Lonchura striata: one gene and its partner. The protein of the gene in region 2 binds, or shares a complex with, the protein of the main gene of each other region. Links are inferred from orthologs where the notes say so. Each region holds a gene or a part of one and is shown on either strand. Other genes may lie near its edges.

Region 1 (10,217 bases), on a different chromosome or scaffold from region 2:
ACAATATTTAAAGCTACAGACTAATTTTAAAATATCAGCATGTTGACTAGATATTAAGAACAAATCTAGAAGACAAGACTACCCATTCTAAGAATGGGCACTTTTGAGTACTATTACTGGATAGGGCAAATAATGCCAGTATTACACACAATGCTGTGAGTGTAATGGGAGTATTTGTCATTTCAGCACATGTTTTCTAGAAAAAAACAGGCAGCTAAAAGGAAGATACTTGTTCAATATTTGTTCTGGGGCAGATCTTTTCTCTTCCCAGAAAATACTCACAATAAAATAGATCTCTTTCTGAGTTCCTTGAGGAAAAGTATTCTGAACCAGCTATTTTCCAAATTATGCTTTTCAATAAATATGTTTCTCTTAAGAGAAAATTAATTTATTGGTTTCTATAGTACATTATTTCTATATTGTATTTCCTCTCAGAAGAGCATTTTGTAAAGAAAAAAGTAATCCCTTGAAGTGCAATAATCCTCTCCATTGCAAAATTATTTCCAGGGCTTGAAATTTAATGTTTAGATTCAGCTTCTGCTTTAAAAAACAAAGTACCACTTGTGGTCTAAGTGTTCCATTACATTAAAATTACACATCATTTCAAAATGTTTACTTACCAATAGGACCATTCCAGGGGATATCAGACAAGGCAAGCGCTGCAGAAGCTGAAAAGAAGATAAATACCTGGATTAGAAAAAAACTGATCTCATTAAGTCCCACCAAAGCACCAATTTCTCACAGCCTTCTTACCTCCATTAATTGCCAGAATATCAGGATCATTGACACCATCTACTGCTAAAAGATTACAAAGGATCTGGCATAAGATAAAAGACAATGAATAATTTTGACCTATACATTTTTATTAACTGTCAATACAAAGCTAAGGACACTAAAAAACCCCATGAATCTACACAAGTCTATGTTTCACATGGAAATTTTTTTCAGGTATTTAATATAGAAAGCTGAAAATAAAGCCCCATTAATGGATACTATTGTATCACATCACAAATAAAATATTTACTGTTAGCATCTTTCCCCTGTTGTACAGAGATTTTAATTTTGCTCCTGCATATTGACAACAAAATTTGGAAAGTAGGATGAAATAATATTGTAAGACAAGAAGATAAAACAGATTAAAAGCAACATTACACTTGTTTGTGAAGTACAAACCCCTCCTTGATGTCAATAAAAATAGTTTTTCTTCAAACAGGGCCTGGGTAATGAAATTTTCCTTGGCCATATTCAAGTTTTCTGTTTTGAAGGTAGCATGACCTACCTGTGTATCATAAAAGTAGCCTGCAGGGAAGAGTGGTCTGATTGACCGATCTGCAAAGAAAATAATCAAACTTTTAATAAAAAGTTCATAAGAATTTGGTTTCAGTAGTTAATAATCAGTTTGTACTGCAATGACCCCACAAGAAACTGACAAAAATGGAAAAAAAAAGAGACAATACTATAGAAAATGTATTCAGCATGACACATGTAACCTTAAAATTTCAATCACATTGATAAATAAATTACATGTTTGTTTCTGACACATTATAAATGGCTGTATTTTCAAACAAGCACAAGAAAATGACAACATTTTTGAAGTACATTGTAAATAAAAGGTTTCAGCCTACCTATTACTCTGCTTGTAAGAATTTCTTTATCAGTGGAACCAAGCTCTCTTCTGAGATAGTTTGTAGGAATTCTTCCTGCTGCAGCAGCTTTCTGCCGGTAGTCAACCTTCCAAAGAAAATTCAGGGATTATTAATGACAACTGATTATTTACTGCAGAGCCACAGAAACCCCCACAAGGGACCCTTGGGATCATCCAGTTCTAACCCCAATTATCTACTTCCCACCCTTAACAATCACAGCCCTTTGAGCCTCACAATCCAACCAGCTTTCCACACAACCAAACCCAGATACCAGAGCTTGGATGATACGGCAAAGTTCGCAAGGGCTTTGAAGACAGCCTTACTAAATCCAAGGCAGGCAACAGCCAGGGCTCATCCCTCACCCACACAAGGATCCTGGATTTTATCATCAACTGCATATCTCAAGTCCAGGGTCTGTCGTCTACTGTTTGCATTCCTCACTCTCCCCAGCATCCTGAACTCCACTGTTTAAGGACCATGACTGCTAAATTGATCACTGATTAGCACAAAACTAATTCTGTCATTAGTACTTACCACTAATGGCATAAACTGAGATGGAGAAGGCTTGGTTTTGCTGACTGCTGTGACCATCACTGCTGTGTCACCTAGCTGTGTTAAGAAAAACAGGTGAAAACTGAAGTTACCAGAAAAGAAAATAACTTCCAATGTTCTAAACTTAATTCACAAACCAGTAATTCTTAAGAATTATACCTTGCAGAAAACCACTGCATAAATCCACAGTTCACACTGCTGTCTTTGCTTTTCAAACAATTTTTCCTATACAATACAGCTGTCCCTTTGTTAGGGATGAAATTGCCACTTGAGGCTCTATATCCCACAGGCTCTGATGCCCACACAATGACTTTCAAGTTTCAGAAATTTTGAAGCTGGACAAATCTTGACTTTTTTTTTGTTTTTTTACCTGAACAACAGCAGAGCCATCAGCAAACTTAGCAAGTTTTCCAGAAGACAGCTCCATCTTTCTAAAGGAAAGAAACAATCTGTTACATAAGCTTATAGTGAATCCATCTACATTTCCCAGCAATTTCTGCATTCACCTGTAGCCTCAACTGCACAGAATAAAGGCTATGCTTCACAAGAGATATAAAAATTCTTCATAGATATAAAAATTGAAACTCTTCGAGCAAAAATGAACAAACCCACTTAAATTTCAACTGCTTTAGTCTCAAGTGTCCTGCTTCAGACTTAAGTGTCCTGTTTCCTTTACTTTGAAGCAAAGCCTTGGAGCACATCAGCTATCTCTATCACAAAGGTGAATCATCACCTGTTCCAGCTGGGGTTTAGCCACTGGAAAACACCCTCAAGGGCAAGGGGAGCTGCTTGCACACATCCCACCACATCTGCAGAATACTCCTTCCTTTGTGGCAGAGGATGGAGGGCAACAAGGCAATGAGGGCACACTCGAGAGTGAGATATGGATTATTTATTCTAGGGCTGTGCTGGGTGCTATTGCACAAGCCCCGCACACCCTCCTAACTTTCCATACTTTTATTTATACACAGAAATGCAGAGCTGGTCCCTTCCCAAGCACAGCCCCTCTATTATGATTAGTTAGTAGTTTCTATACAAGTTATCCCAGGTAACTTGTTCACATGCTCAGGAGAACACCTGGGCAAGGCCCTTATGACTTGTAGGTGTGATTTTCACTGTTATAATGAACACAGTTCAGCTACAGAATCACAGAACACTTTGGGTGGGAAGGGACCCTGAAGATCACCGAGTTCCACACCTCCACCATCTCAGGTTGTTCCAAGCCCCATCCAACCTGGCTTTAAACACATCCAGGGATGGGGCAGCCACAGCTTCTCCAGGCAGGAGAGCTCAGAGGGACCTCACAGGGAAGATTTTTCCCCTAATGTCTCATCTAAACTTACTACCTTTCATTTTTAACCCGTTCTCCCTTGTCCTGTCACTGCACACCCTCACAAATAGTCTCTTCATCTTTCTAGGCAGCTCCCTTCAGGTCCTGGAAGGCCATAATTAGGTCACCCCAAAGCTTTTTTTCTCCAGGCGGAACAATCCCCATTCTCTGAGTCTTTCCTCACCCGATAGGTCTCCATCCCTCTGATCAACTTGGTGGCCTGGAATATTTTGCTAAGTTGGCAATGTACACATAGACATCCATCAGCAACTTGATTTATTACATCCGTAGGGCTCCTCAGAGCCTGATGTCCCTGACTCAGCGACGACAAGGCTGATTCCACTGCTCCGGGCTCCCTTCTTGCTGATTAGGCTTGCCAGCACACCAAGATCCGATATCAAAGAACGTCCTGATTGAGAATAACCTCAACACGTGCCTCAACGCACTTTACACCAGTTTTTCCTCGCGTTTGCCTTACCCTCCAGCCTGGACAGCGCTCTGCCCTGCCGCCCCCCCACACCCCTCAGAGCCGCTCACCTGCCGCCCACCTCCACCGTCACGGCCCGCCCGGGCTTGTGCCCCGCCGAGGCGCCGCGGGCTGGCACCCAGGGCAGGACGGGGCGGCCCGGGGGCAGGACCCGCCGCCACCGCGCCGCGGCCCCGCCGCCATCCCGGGACAGCGCGCCCAGCGCGGCGCGGCCGCAGCTCCTGGCGGCCGCCATAGCGCCCCAGGCAGGAAAGGGCGGCCGCGCGATTGGCTCGGGGGAGCGGCGCCGCGCAGTAAGAGCGGAGCGGATTGGCTGAGGCGTCGCCGCGCCGGTTTCGGTTCCGTACGGGCGCTATAGCGGCTGAGGAGGGTCAGGCAGCGCAGAGCGCGCGAATGCGGCTGCTCCGCCACTCTCGAATTCTGGGGTAAAAGGCGGCAGATAAAGGTCCGTGGCGCCGCTTGTGGCGGCCTTGGAGCCACCTCGGTCTGGAATCTGAGGAGAACCCGCTCGAACAGGGGCTTGGAGCGAGGAAGAGGACAGGGGCACCGGGCTGCCGTCTCTTCCCGCCCTGGCGCCTCAGGAGGCCGGGTGGCGCCTGCCGGGCTGGCCCCGACCCTGTTTGGGGACAGGCCCGAAAGCCACCTTCAGTTCAGGAAGAGAAAAATATGGGCCTTTGCAATTAATTTATTCCGCAGACCTTGTTCTGTAACACAGCCACCAAAATTAAAAAAAAAAAAAAAACCAAAACCCCAACAACAGAACCCAAAAAACGAAGAAAAAAAATACCACCAAAAAAACCCCGACCAACAACAACGACAAAAAAAAAAAAAAAAAACAACAAAAAAAAACCCAAAAAACCCCATAAAAACCAAAACCAACCAACCAACCAACCAACCAACCACACACAAAAAAACCCCCCAAAATAACCCCTAATACCAAAAAACAAACCACCAAAACCCCAAATAAACAACCAAAAACCAACCAAAACATAATTTTAAACCAGGAATACCAAAATAATCTGTACTGTGCAAGAAGAATAGAACACAGATATTGCTTATCACAAACTTCATGTGCTCTTACATGCTCAGAGTGCATCAGAATGTCACTCGGGACAGTGGTTTTGTTACTTTATTAATTATTCCTCAGTGTAATGCAAAATAGATTAGTAATTAGTGTTACTTACGTCAATGAGGTGAGCAAACAATAATGTGATTATGGAGATCTGATTGCATCAAAAATGAGATAGTTTATATTCATTGAATCCCACATGTATCTGTCACGCATCACCTTAAACTCATCTGCAATCTGGATTTAACAATTTAAATTTAGCAACTAATTATTAAAAATCTTAACAATTTACTACTATTTTATTTCTAAAGCTATTTTGATGTTTGTTTACTTAACTGGAGTTTTCTGCCCAAGCTGCTTTTATTGGAAACAGATTCAAGACTGGGAGAATAGTCCAAGCAATAATTTTTCTTTTGTGCCAACATGTTTTTTATCTTTTTGGCAAGACACAAAAGAAAGAAGTAAAATGATCTGAACTTGGGATTTGGCCTGGGCAAAAGGACTGTTAACTTTATCCAGATTTACTACTTATTGGTACAGTTTTTTTGGTACAAGAATGTATTAGCTGGCAAAGCAGAAATGTCCCCCATAGTCTCTTGAATTCACATTCACTTTGCTGCTGACAAACAGACAATTATTTGGAATGTTTTTTGTGTAATTATTACGATTGCTATTCTCATACCAAGATGGTAAGGGAATATTTCATCACTGTCATGGACTGACAAACTATGGCCATATCACTGTCATAGGAAAAAGATACCAGAGCTTGGATTTCATTCAAGATACTAGGCAGCAAACAAAATGAATGTTTAACATCATGAAAGAAACCAAAACTATGGTTCATCTATTAAGAAAGATTTGCACTTCATTTCCCTCTTCATTACCTCTGTTTGTTTTTTGTTTTTGTTTTGGTTTTGGTTTTTTGTTTGTTTTGTTTTGTTTGTTTATTGGGGTTTTTTTTTGTTGTGGGGTTTTCTTTGGTTTTTTTTTTGTTTTTTTTTTTTAATTCCACTGTTGAAAATTCAAACAAAAACCCCCAGACAAGGCACAAAATCGGATCATGATTAAAGCTTTTTGGAGAGCAGCAATAATTTTTGAGCCTTTTCTAGCAGCCTCTGCCACACTGAAACATGTTTAATACCACCCTGTGACATTATTTCATGGTTTTATGCTGTATGGGCCCTACTGATTGCTAATAAAAGTAGGGGTTTTATTTAGGAGCAGCTTAAGCAGCTCCCTTTTGGCCACTTTGTCTGTGCCCCCTCCTGTCCAGCTCACTGGGTGTGCTGGTGCAGCAGAGAGCTCTTCTGCTTTGAAGTTTGACAAGTTCCTTGAGGGAATTAGTTATGATCCACATAGTCTCAAGCCACTTCTTTATTTTGCCATTTATTAAGCCATTTATTTATTTGGTCAGGGTCCATCTGTAGCTGATTATCCAATTTTATCCATCCCCATCCTGCGGCTCAGTAAATCTCTTGCTTCAAGTGCTACAGACACTTGTTAAAAAATGATGTGTGGCTATTTTAAGGAACAGTAAACATGCAACCAACTGCCCTAGGAAGAGGCATTTTCCATGCACTCCTCCACTGGATGGCTTCTCATGGCTCTATTTTTTCCTGGGCTCATAAACAAGATTAAATTGAGCCCCTTACATATTTTGTCATAAAGCTCTACACTTTTATTATTTGATTTATTAGATTTTTTTTTAAAGAGACAGCCATTGTACAGACCTAGCCCTATAAAAGCAGCTCAATATAGAATTTAAATTAAAAACAAACCCAACAAACAGCCTGACAGTGATTTATTTCCTCCTTTTTTCCATCATTGCCAACAAAGACAATGCTGATAAGAAATTGTATCTACAGCTGTTCCAGGAAAGATTCCTAGTGGTGTTCCAGCCATTCCACCATGCCCAGGTGGGGCATCCTATTCTGGATTTATTGCAAACTGTGAAGAACAATTATGGCATCATTAAATATTCCTGAAAACCCTGGATGCTGCACCTGAGCAAGTAAGTTCTTTGGAGCTGATAAAAATGTTTTAGCAGGATACAGATCTCTCATCCTAACTTTCTAAAGAAGCCTTAGGAGAATCCACTGAAATTGCATTACTTTAAAGCGACTTGTTTTCACTTGGCTTTCTTTCCTCATTCTTGTTCTGTTTAGCTCTACTTTGATTTAATTTCCTGCTGTATCTCTTGTGATGGCTTTCAGATGCCACTAGATTTCCTTAGCTGGTATAACTCCAGTGTCTCAGTGTTCTTCAGAAAACTCAGGTGGATGAACTTTGCAATCAAAATGTCTGGTCTGTGTCTCATCCTATTTTAGAGCAGCACCACCCCTCCTTCCTTTCTCTCCCAAGTTCCTGAGGGCTCTGTGCTGCTCTGCTCCCTGAGCAGATGTGAAATTGCAGTATTCCCTGGGAATGGAAGGTGGATTTAAGCAGAAGGTGTAGGTGAGTAAACTGAAGCCTGTGCTCATCCCAAGCTGTGCTGCCCTAGCAAGCAAGTTGGAGATTTCTACAACCATTTGTCTTATGGGACTGCTTGAACACATGTGAAAGAGATGAAAATGCAAATTCCCTTTCCCAAATCAGTGCTGTGTTTTCTAAAGTGATCTGGTGTGTTGGGGTTATTTTATGTTTTATTTTTGCACTCTATAAGGAGCAAGTAAGGTAGAGGGTTGAATAATTGTCAGAGCAAACTTTTATTTTCCAGAAGATTTATTTGGATGTGTCAGTAGTCAAAGTGCATGTGTATATAAAGCCTGTGTTTCATGCCCACAGTGTAATAGATACATAAGGTGTCATCTTTTTTTTTTTGCTTCAGCAGCAAACTTTGAAACCATTTGAGTCCTAATTTTTATTGCTGTGCAGCCTAAACTTAGTGAAGGACTTCAGGAAAGTGGTTGCTTTTTTTTTTTCCTCCTTGTGGTAGGAGACCACAGAAGTATAACACTAAAGAAAATATGAGCTCCTTACTTGAACTTGTAGAGTCAACTCCTTCATGTTTTTTTGACTTCTCTTTTGTCCTATTTATTATCTTAAATTGAGAGTTAAAGCATCTTATAAATCAATAAACTGGGTTAAACGAAGCCTTCCTGCTGGTGTATGGGATGTAATGTGTCTCCATAGGCCAGATTTTAGGGGTTTCACATGAAGGAAAAACCTAGACCAGGGCAATTGGAACTTTTGGCAGGTCAAAACACGCTCAGCAGATGCAAAGGGTGGGAGCAGCCTCTGAAACTGAGGGGTTGTAGTGGGAATTTCTGTATTCAGCTGCAGGGACCTTGTAGCTGTGCTGGGGATTTGACTCAAACCTGTTCTGTGAGCTGGCAAGGGCAGTTCTACAGGGTAGTGGGTAGCAGTTTTATAGTCTAACTGGAACCCCCCCATATTACTCAGATACACAGCCTCTATATTGTTCTTCTTTCCAGGAGTTTTAAGTGTCCTTGACCACATACTCTGTTTTCTGGGAGCTGTGGATTTGGGTTCTTTGACAATTACAACCACTTGAATTCCCTTGCTCAGTCTGGATTGTGCTGAAATAATTATGTACATGTGCTGCAAGATTGTATTAATGTGTATTTCTATCTAACGAAAGGAAAACTCTTCCCTCTAACAAACTCAGTCCTTTTAAAGGTGTTACCTTTGAATTTGATACCTCTTTATTGAGCTGCTTTCTCTTTCACCAACTCCCCAGGAACCAGGAATGTTCCAAGTCAGCTACCATGTGGATGTTCTGCTTGTATATATTTACTTGTTAAATACATAGACCTGTTTGTTGTAATATGTGAGATTCTGCAAGTGTTTTTTATTTGCAGCATGTTTTTGAAATAAATGTTTTATTTGAAGTGGTTAATATACTTTGGCAGTGGGTGTTGAGCTGGAGGTCAGGTGTGTGCTGGGGGCTGCTCCTAGCATTGGACAGAGGGAAGAAATTAGTAGATGGGCCTGGAACACTGGCTTCACCAGAAAATCAGAGGGATGAGCAACCACAGTGAGAGTTACTTTTTTTTTTTTTTTTTCCCAGCCAATTCACAGAAAAACAAGTGTTCAAGGCAGTGTGAAACAACACATTTTAATTCTCCCCTTTTCTCGGGGGGTCTTCACCATGCCCTGGCTTTTCTGTAGTACAGAAATTGAGAATACCGTGCCCACGTTGTTGCCAGGACGCTCTCTGGGCAGAGTAAAACCTTAAAATGTGTGATTTGGTGTGTCTTTATTGAAAATAAGCCTGTGCCATACGGTGGCACTGGTGAGCTGAGCCCGGGCTGTGCTGCGCCCGCCGCGGTCCCGGCTTCGTTCTGGCTGTTTCCTGGTGGTGCCTGCAGGGCGCAGCTTCTGCCCACGCAACTCCTCCGTGGCTCGCTTGGAAACTTCCAAGGTTACCCTGAATATTGAGGGAGTAATAGAAAACAACGGTTTGGTTTTCATGTCAGTTCTTAATTTGCATGGGCGAGTGACCGGCACAGAACTAAAGAGACAGAAGCAAAGAGACAGATCTACAGAAATAGTAAAAATGTACAGAATTTACTATGGTCAGTGCTCTTCCTTTTTGTCTGCAATGAGAGTGGAGAGTGAAGAGACCCTAAATTAATGAATTAAAGAGGAGCACCTAGAGGTGCGATTTTTAAGCCTTTTTAAGCATTTCTGTGAACACTGATCATTCAATGCTGTGCCTTTAACAAAGGAGTTGAGCAAAGCTAGATGCAAGAACACTCTGTATGTGTGGGGTAATGTTCAGATTCCTCTATTCTAAACTAAATTAGCACCACTTCTAACACTACAAATGACTTTGACTTGTAGTGTAAAAACTATGAGTGAACATCATGTGTAATGCACAAAACTTCCTGATGTGTGTGCTTGTTTTCTGTCAAATCAGTTTTTGGGTGCCCTAGTTAAAATGATTTGCAGTCTAGAAAACACTCCAAAAATCCATTTGAGGGCTCAGCACTGCTCCAGGCTCCTCTCTGTGTCACCCTGATCTTTGTTGGCTGTGAAGAGACAGAGCTCCATTAAATGCATATGATGGGAATTATGACAAATACCAAGGAATATAAGAAGGTCTGAAATGACCCAAGGCCCTGAATTCCTTGAGTGATTGAAGGGCAAAGTGTGATTGATCTGTGGTGT
Region 2 (9,967 bases):
CAGTGCCAGTCACTGGACACAACACTGCCAAGCTCTGCTCTCTGCAGCTCACTCTGTAACTGTCTGACAAGACATGGAAAGCTTCCCATGAAATCAACCTTAAATTATTGAAAGATTGCCTCTCTAAAAAGCTGTATCAGAGACAGCCCACTTGGCACAATGAAAATCACCAGCTGACAAGAATATGGCAAATTTAAATGCACATCCCATACCACTACAGGAGTGTTTTAATGGATTAATTCATGTTCTGAAATGTTCCCAAAGATAACAAAAACACAAAGGCACCAGCAGAATTACATTTCCTAGGAAGGCATCCACACTCATGTTTAAGGGCCTTGAAATCAAAGACAGACTGGAAAACAGTGCAGTATAAGCAAGTACAGGCCTCAGCGCTCTTCAGAGCTTCCCAAGGAAGCTCCAGCAACTAACACATCATCAGCCACGCAGCTAAATTCACAGCCATTGGCCTTACTACAAGAGTAAAGGTCAATGCCAGAACATGTTTCTATCCAAGGCAACGTGACATTGGGACCAAGCTGCCCAAGGTCACAATCCTTCCTAAGCACAAACACTTGTCTAAACAATAAGGTAAATTGAAACAAAACAAAGCTGGCATTGCAGCCCACCTGAGCTTATCCAAGAGCACATACACACTCTGAACATCTGGGTCCTGTCTCAATCACCACCCTTTTTACCCTTCACTCCTGCTTTGAGATTTCCCTTTGTTTACCATTCTCTCATTCTAGAATTGTGTTTTAGCTCTTACTCCTCAATTACTTTGATTTCTCAGCAGCACTTCTAAGGTTCTCTGTAAAAAGACAGCCAGACTGCAGTAAAGTTCAGAAATCATCCAGTTAGTCTCCAATGTATCAGATTCATTTAGCTGTTTCAACCCTGTTTGCAGGAAGCCTTTGAGTCATTACCCTGTATCTCTGACGGCAACAATCCACTGCAGTCAGGCTGAATGTTACCACTGGGGCAGCTGAAGCACTTTATTTTACAATTCCTCCCCAACTATTAGACTCCCATTGCCCAGTCCAAGCAACCTGTGCATCTACCAAGGCCCCTGTTCAGGCATCTCCTGCTCCTGCCACGTGAATTGCTGCCAATACTTGGTCTGTCCTGACCTGCACCTCCCACAGGTAAAGCACAGCCCCACGGTCAGACAACTGAAGCCACAGAACTGACATTCAAGGACAACTGAATCACAAGATACAAACACCAAAATTGAAAGCATCCATCAGCACTCACAGGGGTACTCTTCCTATGAAGTTGTGGAAAACAGAAGCAGTGAATTAATTCCAGGTCTGTTAGGAAGTTTTTACAAAACTGGGTTTACAAAAGTAAGCTTCTAAAAAGACCTTTAGTCTTCCTAACAGTGTTTGACTAATGTGAAAACTATAATCACTCTCACTTGAGCAAGCTAACAAGATTATTCACAATGCAAGTATGCTCACTAACAAAGTTTCTTCACAAACTGTAACCAGAAAGATCATAAATACACATATTCCTTTACTGAATTTAATTCAGTACTTGGCAGCAGAATCTGATAAAGTATCTTCATTTAAAAAGATAAAAAACCAGATGCATAATACTGTGTGTGGTCAGAACCTGAAGGGGGAAGCAGAGAAGACTATTTATTTCATTTTTTTTTTAATGGCTACATGTAAAGAAGTTCTCGTCCAGTCTTTTCTAACATTATTGGGTTTCAAAATACCAATACTTTTAAAACACGTCATTGTCTTTTTAAAATAGTTTTCAATATTATTGAGAGAGCACTAGAGGCCAAACAAGTCAGATGAGCATCCCACTGCAGCATTCACTTTCTCTGGACAGAGAGACAGAATTCTGTCTCTCAGGAGAAGCACAGAGATGTGAATGCCACACCCCACAGGTCACCTGGCTGCTATTTCCTGCCAGTCTCACAGGGAGGAACATCAGGCTGACTGAAGTGGTTCATTTTCACCTGTGCGAGCACACATAATTTTAGCCAATCTGTTCTCTCTCAACAACTTAGCAAATACCAAACAGAATCTGTACTTAGTTTCCCAGAGCATTTTAGTTTAGCATGTAGTTTTGAAGAAATCCAACATAACTGCTCCTCTAACAAATGAGACAACAGGCAATGTACAAGTAAAAAGGCATCATTCATCTTTATTGGCACCTCAGGAATGCACTATTCATATAAAAGACAAGTTTGACAATGCAGATTTTTGCATTACAGCTCCTCAGGATTCTTCATCCTGATTAGGTGGGTTTTTTTAGCTTTTAAAGTTAGATATTCTTTTCTCCATAGTTCTGAACTATTAAGATAATTTGCCCATGCTTCTATACTCTGGAATTAAGATAAATAATACCTCATCATTAGATTATGAGAAGATATGAAAGATTTCCATTTGCACCCTTAATGCTTTCAGATCAGCAAATATCAAAAGAATCAAGACCTTGTCTGTTATTTACCAAATCTTTAAAGATCATGGAGTCCTAAGATCATAGAACTGTCTGGGTTGGAAGGGACCTTAAAGACCATCTCACTCCAGTCCCCTGCCATGGGCAGGGACACCTTCCACTATCTCAGGCTGCTCCAAACCCCATCCAAACTGGCCTTGGACACTTCCAGGGATGGTGCAGCCACAGCTTCTCTGGCACCCTGTGCCAGGGCCTCACCTCCCTCCGAGGGAAGAAGTTTTTCCTAAAACCCAATCTAAACCTACGCTCCGTCCATTTGAAGCCATTCTCCCTGGTCCTGTCACTTCAGCCACTTTTGATCTAGGCACATTCACACACAGACAAACTTTTCGGTCTGTAACATCAATATTTGAGGAAACTACGTCTTTCAAGTTCATATACAGTTATGGCTCTGGAATGCAAGAGATTGCAGTTTGGCTGTGGGACCTGCCCCAAGCCAAGCACCTTTACCCCGACCGAACGGAAGAGCGGCCAGCAGAGCGTTTCCTCACACAGGGCACGCCTGCGGGCCCAGGCAATCCCAGAGTATCCTGAGCTGGAAGCACCCACACGGGTCATGCCCTGCACAGCACAGCCCCATGAATCCCACCACATGCAGGTGCCCTCTCACCTGAGAGCCTTTATCCCACTTCACCTTCACGGGCACAATTAGCTTCAGGTCACACAAGCTGTGGGGAAGGACACCCTTCTCTTAAGGGGGAAAGTTTCTGAGCCCAGGAAAGGACCCGAGAGCAGCAGGGGACAATTCCCTCAGCCCTCAGGAGGGTCCCAGAATCACAGAATCAATTAAGCTGGAAAAGACCTCTCCGATCATCGAGTCCGACCTACGAGCAAACAGCACCTCGTGTACCACAAGCAGTCTGTCTTTAGACACCTCCAGAGATGGTGACTCCGCCACTTCACCGGGCTGTCCCAATGTTTCATTACTTTTCCTGTGAGAAAAGTCCTCCCAATGTCCAACCTGAACCTCCCCTGGCACAGCTTGAGGCCGTTTCCTCTTGTTCCGCTGCTGTTCCTTGGGAGCAGAGCCCGACCCCCATCTGGCTGCAGCCTCCGGGCAGGGAGCTGGAGAAGGCGAAGTGTTCCTTGAGCCCTCCTCTCCTCCTGGCCGAGCCCCATCGGATTTGCGCTCCAGCCCCGCTGCCGTTCTCTGCACCAGCTCGAGCTCGCAGCGTGCCCCCAGAGAGCTGAGCGGCGCAGAGCCAGGCACAGCGCTCCAGCCGCGGCCTCGCCAGCCCGCCTCCGGCGCTGGCGGCAGACGGCGGGCGAGGCCTCACGGCCCCCGCCCCGTCCCCTCACGGTCCCGCCCGCACTCACCCTTGTCGAGGGGCCGCGTGAGCTCGGCGCCCACGTCTTCTTCGGCCGCGCCGCCGAGGCCGGGCTTCAGCGGCACGGGCACGAAGAGCGAGGTGTCGGGGGCGCGGGAGGCGCCGCCGTCCCCGGAGGAGGCCGGCGATGAGGGCGATGAGGACGACGCCGCGGGCGCGGCGGGGCGCGCGCGGGGAGCGCCGCCGCCATGGCGGAGCGCGAGCGCCGCGCGCGCGGGGAGCCGCCGCAGCAGCGGCCACGCGCAGCGACTCATCCGCAGACAAGGGCGGCGGGCGGCCCGCGCGTCATCGGCCCGCGCCCGCCCCGCCCCCGCGCGTCATCGGCCCGCGCCCGCCCCGCCCCCCGCGCGTCATCGGCCCGCGCCCGCCCCGCCCCCCGCGCGTCATCGGCCCGCGCCCGCCCCGCCCCCGCGCGTCATCGGCCCGCGCCCGCCCCGCCCCCCGCGCGTCATCGGCCCGCGCCCGCCCCGCCCCCGCGCGTGCGCGCCGCCGCCCCCGCCCGCGCGCTGAGGGAGCGCAGCGCCCCTCACACACACACCAGGCGGGTTTAGTGAGAATACAGCTGGTTTAATAATTCAAATAGCAGCTTAGGATGTTTTCCCCCGCTCATTATACATGGTTGCACAATCTGAGGCTGGTCAAGTACAATCAAGTTTTTCAAAATCATCGTTCCCAGGTTTACAACATGCAAGTGACCGTGAAAATATTTGGTTGGGTTTTTTTTTTTTTAAACTTTATTCTTTTAAGTTTCTGAACAGGCACTTACATGAGGGAGTTGGATTTGCTCTCAGCCGAAGATATCTGCGTTAGGAGTATCCTAGCATAAAGTACACAGAGTCTTTGCTTTATCAAAGTGCCGCAGTAATAAAACAGTTCTTACATAAATGTAATTTGATTATTTACTTACTCAGAAAGTAAGGTTACCAATGACACTTGCACCGGAGCCAAGAAGCCTTGGTTTAAAGGCCAAGTGAACTACAAGTGCAAGTTGCCTTCCTCACAGCAGGCTTCCATTTGTGCCCAAGCCACACGTCTGACAACAGACCCCACACTTAACTCCTTTAAGCTACTTCTTCAAACACTAAACGCCTATGAGATGATGATAAAGACAAACAATCTGCTGAGCCAGACAAGTTTCTAAGTTTCAAGGCTTGCCTGGCTTTGAATACCTTTGCAGAAGACCACAAGAAGCTTGTTTGCTCTAAGAGGCCCAGAAGGATGTCCTTTGGGGACATTTTGCCTCTCCTGTCAGGACAGATAGACACTGACTGTGAAGACAGCGGAATCATGAAGCCAGGAGGAAACACAGTTTTACATATTTGCAAAACAATCAGTGTTAACAGCATTTACTTCATCAATAAGATAACTATGTTCAAATACTTTATCCACTCAACACCTGAGGGTGAACTCAAAGACAACCCTACAGTCACTAATTACTGGGTAATAAGCCCCCAAAAGTTAGGAGCAACCCGTGTGAAAGACTTTGAGAAGTCTGACCGGGAGCTGGGGGAGAGAGGGCAAAGATACTTCCCAATATTCTTTGTTACTGACAGATGCAGAGCCTCTTAGAACCGCTGGTCTGAAGGCTCCAATCATAGTGCACATACATGCAGCTTCAGTTAAACCCTGTCTAATGTAGTAATTAGGAGATTTTAGAAAAATGCACCATAAACCTTGATTTTTAGTGTGATTTAGTCAATTGTGTCTTAATGCAGTTTCAAAACAAAACAAAGCAAATAAGCAACATTGGAAACAAACATGCAATGAACAACATGAGAGACGGGAAATGCTTTAGTCTATATTGTAGAGGTGAGCAGCAAAAATCAAATACACCAGCCTATCATGCATGGAAATAACTAGATTTAAGCTTTTGCATACCCAAGTGCATACAACATTATCAAATAAAAGGAAATGTGCAGTATAAAATAGTAGCTTAAGAAAGTTCCAGTGTTTGAGAAAGCACTTTATTTTAAATGTATATACATACTTGAATGCTTAACTGAAGAACGCTTTAGTAGCATGGTAAACGCAGCACTGCAAGATGAAGGAAGACAGTTGTAATGGGAATTCCGGCCTTCTTTTCCCACAGGCTGCTGCCATCTTTAACCTGCTGAAGCACTGCAAAGGTTTTCACCTTAGACCAGTTCACATTTCGGGCTGCTCAGCAGATGCTTGTGACTCTGGAGATTCAAATCGTTGGTGGAAGTTTGTCCGTTGTTTCCTCAGCTTCTCAGGAGCTTTTCTCCACAAAATTATTTCCTATTTGAGGAAGAAAACACTCTTGAAACCAATAGTTGCCAATAAGGCAACAGCATCAAGTATCTTAAGTTCATGATAAACTAAAACTTTTGGGAAAATAAAAAAAGGTAACAAAACACAAGAGTCCACCAAAAAATGCATCCCCACCACTTATCAGTGCAGTTCATATAAAAGTAACAGAAATACACCATCATTAAGTTTACATACTTAGTTACTGCTTGAACAATCTTGAGCAGTCACCCCTTCCTTAACTACACCACCCTCAATTTTAATACTATTAATGAGTTCAAGAAATTTTTCTTCCTCCTTTTCCCAAAACCCAAAGCCTACCATAGCCACTGTATGCTCCAGCTCCCTCTTGTTTTCCATGTTTAATTACACTGTCTTGTCTGCTTTGTAGTAGGAAGATTTTGATCTAATCCACAAAGCTTCTTCCAGTGACCCTTTTGGCTATCCCTTTCCTCAGCATCACCTCATCTATCGAACATTTTTAGTAAAATGCCTTAGTCCTTAATTAAGGCTTAGCAGTTTTGAACCCAGGCTAGTGCAGGAGGGGAGATTTCTCTGCAGGAATTTAAGGAAGCAAACAAATGCACCAGTAACTCATTTTACCCATCCAGTGTTTTTTCTGGATATTCCCAAATCAAGTTCTATGGTACTGAGCACCCTTATCCTTGCTGGAACAGCATCCAGCATCCTCCTTGGCTCCTTTGCTGCAAGGTGACATCATCTACAGAGCTGTCAGCACGCCTGCCAGCAGAAATGCATGTGCCACACATGAAGCACAGGTGGCTCAAAGCCGCATGTGAAACAGCCCAGATAATTCTGCAACAGGATTGTTATAGACCATACCTGCTGTTTGAAGTATCGTCTGTCTTCTTCATCCACAAGCACCAGATTTAAGAAGTACCTCACTGAAAATTTTTTGTTCACATCCCTCATTGTTGGAGTTGGGTCGTAGCCCGCTAAGAACAATCTTATAGGAATCGACTCCCCTGCAAAAAACAGAAATCCTTACAACTGGAACAATTAATACAGTTTCAGAAGACATGCAAAATAAAAGCAATTTCCCAAGCACTGCCTGTGCTGTTCCTTGGTTAAAAAAAAAACTAAGCCAAACAGCACAAGACATAAAAATACCCACCAAAAATCAGAAACATAACACTAAGCACAGAAGCAAGCATGAAATGAAAAGTGAAAACCCTTTCTCAGTGCAAGTATGGTAGCCAGGAAAGCCAGAAGGATCAGTATTTTTAACTCCCTAGAGCTGGTCTACACCATTGAGTCAGGTTTGATGAAAACATCAGTAATACAATTTCCAATGGTAAATAAGGGTAAAAGTTACTGGTATCCCATGGAAATGCCTTAAGTCCATGAAAATGTCTTCTCCAAATAGAAAATGCATCATCATTTCAGCAACCTAAGGAGAAGTGTGTCCCATATTTTTAAATAGGATTTTAACACTAAATGCTCCCACTTTAAAACAATCACAGTTATTTACCTTTAACTGGTGCACCATCCATTATTTCGTACTTTGCAATGGTTTCAGTCTCTGTTGTAGTACTGGGTCCTGGTGAAACAAGTTTTTATTGTGAACACATGCTTCAGTTTTAACATTCACAAAGTTTTATCACAACAACTTCTATTCTGCAGCTTTTAAATTAACACAGCCCCGCATTTTTGCCCTTGTCTTGCATGTAAGTCAGACATGGCTAAAGCAAGCAAAACCCTCTCCCAAGCAGGACATTTTTCTTTCTCTCCCTCACCACGCTAACACAGATGAGGCAGGCACCAGAGCTTCAAAGGAGCCCTGGATATGCAAGCTTTAAATAAGGGACAAGCAAGAGTGTTGCAGAGGATAGATAGATATGATTGTTATTTTAGCTAGCCGGATGTCACTTCTACCCTTGGATGAATCCTGGAGTGAAATGGACTGTTCCATCCCACCCTGCAAAAGATTGTGGTTCATCCCGCACCTCTGTACCTGCCCCTAAAACAGAGTCTGTAACCCCATTGGCCCATGCCGTGTCCCAGCCCACCTGGGAGCCCCTGATAAGGGGGCTCTGAGCGGCCATGCGGCCTCTTGGACTTCCTCCCTCTCTTGGCCCTCTCTTCCCCTCTAGGACTCCCTCCCTGCCTGGGGCTTCCCCTCTCCTAAACCCTCCATTTCTCTCTCCCCTCCCCCGTCCTCCTAAGCCCAGCCCCGTGCTACGCCTGAGAGCACGAGGCTTGGGCATTCCTGAATTCTCCAATAAACCTCTTCCCCCAAGAGCAAGCTTCAGAGATCTCTGCCTCCCTACACCCCCAACCGTGCAAGAGGAGCCTACTCTTCCCTCACAAGAGGGTATGGAATCCTGAAACTGCTCTGCTTGGTGAGCAGTGCTGGCAGCTGATACTGCCTAGGCCATGCTCAAACAAGGAACTGAAGGGTTATCAGCCAGCTCAAGAGCCAGAAATAAAGTAGAGCTTTCTGCCCTTCCTCTAGTAGAAGCTTTCTCATTCTCCATACAAGAAGCTCCCAAAAACCCCAGCTACTGGGGAATGAAGTGTCATGAGCCACAGCCTCTTTCAGCCTTGTTCCAGTGAGTACAAGCCTGATCTGCAATAATCAACCTGTTTCTGCTTCAAAGCCACTTGGTATTTCTATCATATCCACTTTTTGGATGACAGAAAATGACACATTTCTAGAACATGTCTGATTTATGCTAATGTTTACCAAGCCCCCCTTAATCAGTCAATCCCTGTAAAGGCAAGGGGGTCTTCAGGATGCATTTTACACCTCCTCCCTTGTTCTTTATAAATTAAGGCTGATGAAGTTACTGTGTATTTATGCCCAAGTTCCACTTACAAGGGTTCACGTTTGTGAGGAGTCACAAGAGTCACAACCCCAGAACAATTAAACAAACTGGCAGTGTTGACTACGAAGTATTATTGCCAAAGCACAAAATGCAAATGGTAGTCAAACACCAGTGAGAATGAAGCTGGTGGAGCACTGGTTCAGCCAGCACTACAACTACTGACTTCACTCTCCAGGTCTGCATAAGACTCAACTGGCACACAAGCTGCCATTTCATTTGGACTTTATTTCTCTTACCAATTCCAGTAATCTCCTTTTTGATCAGCTGCAACTCCATGTGCTGAATTTTTATTCTCACTAAGAGGAAATAAATTTTTCCAACAATCACATCCTTTAAGTGATACCTTTAAGAGAACAAAATGGGGGGTTTTGTTAAAGAATAAACACAAGTTTTGCACCTTCTTGAACACAAGTCACACAGGCAGTTATCTGCCTGAAAACTACTTGGAGCTTACTTCCCCGGTGAACTAAGCACTTCAGCCAGACCAGAGCAACTGCAATATTTCCAGCATTCTATCAGGATCAGTAAAGGAAGTACTATCAGTCATACTGAAAAGGTGTAAAAGCAAAAAATAGGTCTTAAATATTTGCCAGTGACCTTCCTGTTAGTACTGAAGACCGAACAGCCCACTGTAACTCAAAAAGGCCTTTGTGTAATTAGTACATTACATTTTAAGTCTCCAGAAGGTGAAGTTGGTCACCATATATTACATACTGCACCCTTTTATACCAAGTTATTTACTTAACAGCATTTTGCTGTGACACTTACTTTGACTTATTGTATTCAAACTCTATGTGGAGACAGTCTTCAATGCCTACTTCCATTTTGATGGAGTTGTTTACATCTGGGTATGTAGCGAGCTGGTGAACTATCAGATCATATTCTTTCACCAAGTCTGACAGCCGTCTCACTATTGTCACTTTTAGGAAATACCTAGGGAAAAAAACATTGGATTAGCCAGAATTATTCAGAACTAAGAGCCCTCGTGTTCTGAAGTACAGCTATTCTTTAAAAGATCAGTGTACAATCTCATAAGACTAAGTAGAAAAGAGT

Evidence for each region.
Region 1: SUPV3L1 (region 2) and PNPT1 share a complex: the UniProt entries of both Homo sapiens proteins name them as parts of the mitochondrial degradosome (mtEXO) complex. The link is inferred for Lonchura striata from reciprocal best matches to the Homo sapiens genes SUPV3L1 and PNPT1.

Annotation. Positions count from the first base shown.
Region 1 is NC_134605.1:27,016,687-27,026,903, reverse strand, and holds the start of PNPT1 (polyribonucleotide nucleotidyltransferase 1, mitochondrial), read right to left. Parts: upstream 4,251-10,217; coding exon 4,066-4,250; intron 2,630-4,065; coding exon 2,569-2,629; intron 2,256-2,568; coding exon 2,181-2,255; intron 1,732-2,180; coding exon 1,626-1,731; intron 1,330-1,625; coding exon 1,280-1,329; intron 818-1,279; coding exon 754-817; intron 669-753; coding exon 621-668; intron 1-620. UniProt on the Homo sapiens protein: RNA-binding protein implicated in numerous RNA metabolic processes. Catalyzes the phosphorolysis of single-stranded polyribonucleotides processively in the 3'-to-5' direction. Mitochondrial intermembrane factor with RNA-processing exoribonulease activity.
Region 2 is NC_134609.1:34,901,157-34,911,123, forward strand, and holds the start of SUPV3L1 (ATP-dependent RNA helicase SUPV3L1, mitochondrial), read right to left. Parts: upstream 3,978-9,967; 5' UTR 3,787-3,977; intron 1-3,786. UniProt on the Homo sapiens protein: Major helicase player in mitochondrial RNA metabolism. Component of the mitochondrial degradosome (mtEXO) complex, that degrades 3' overhang double-stranded RNA with a 3'-to-5' directionality in an ATP-dependent manner.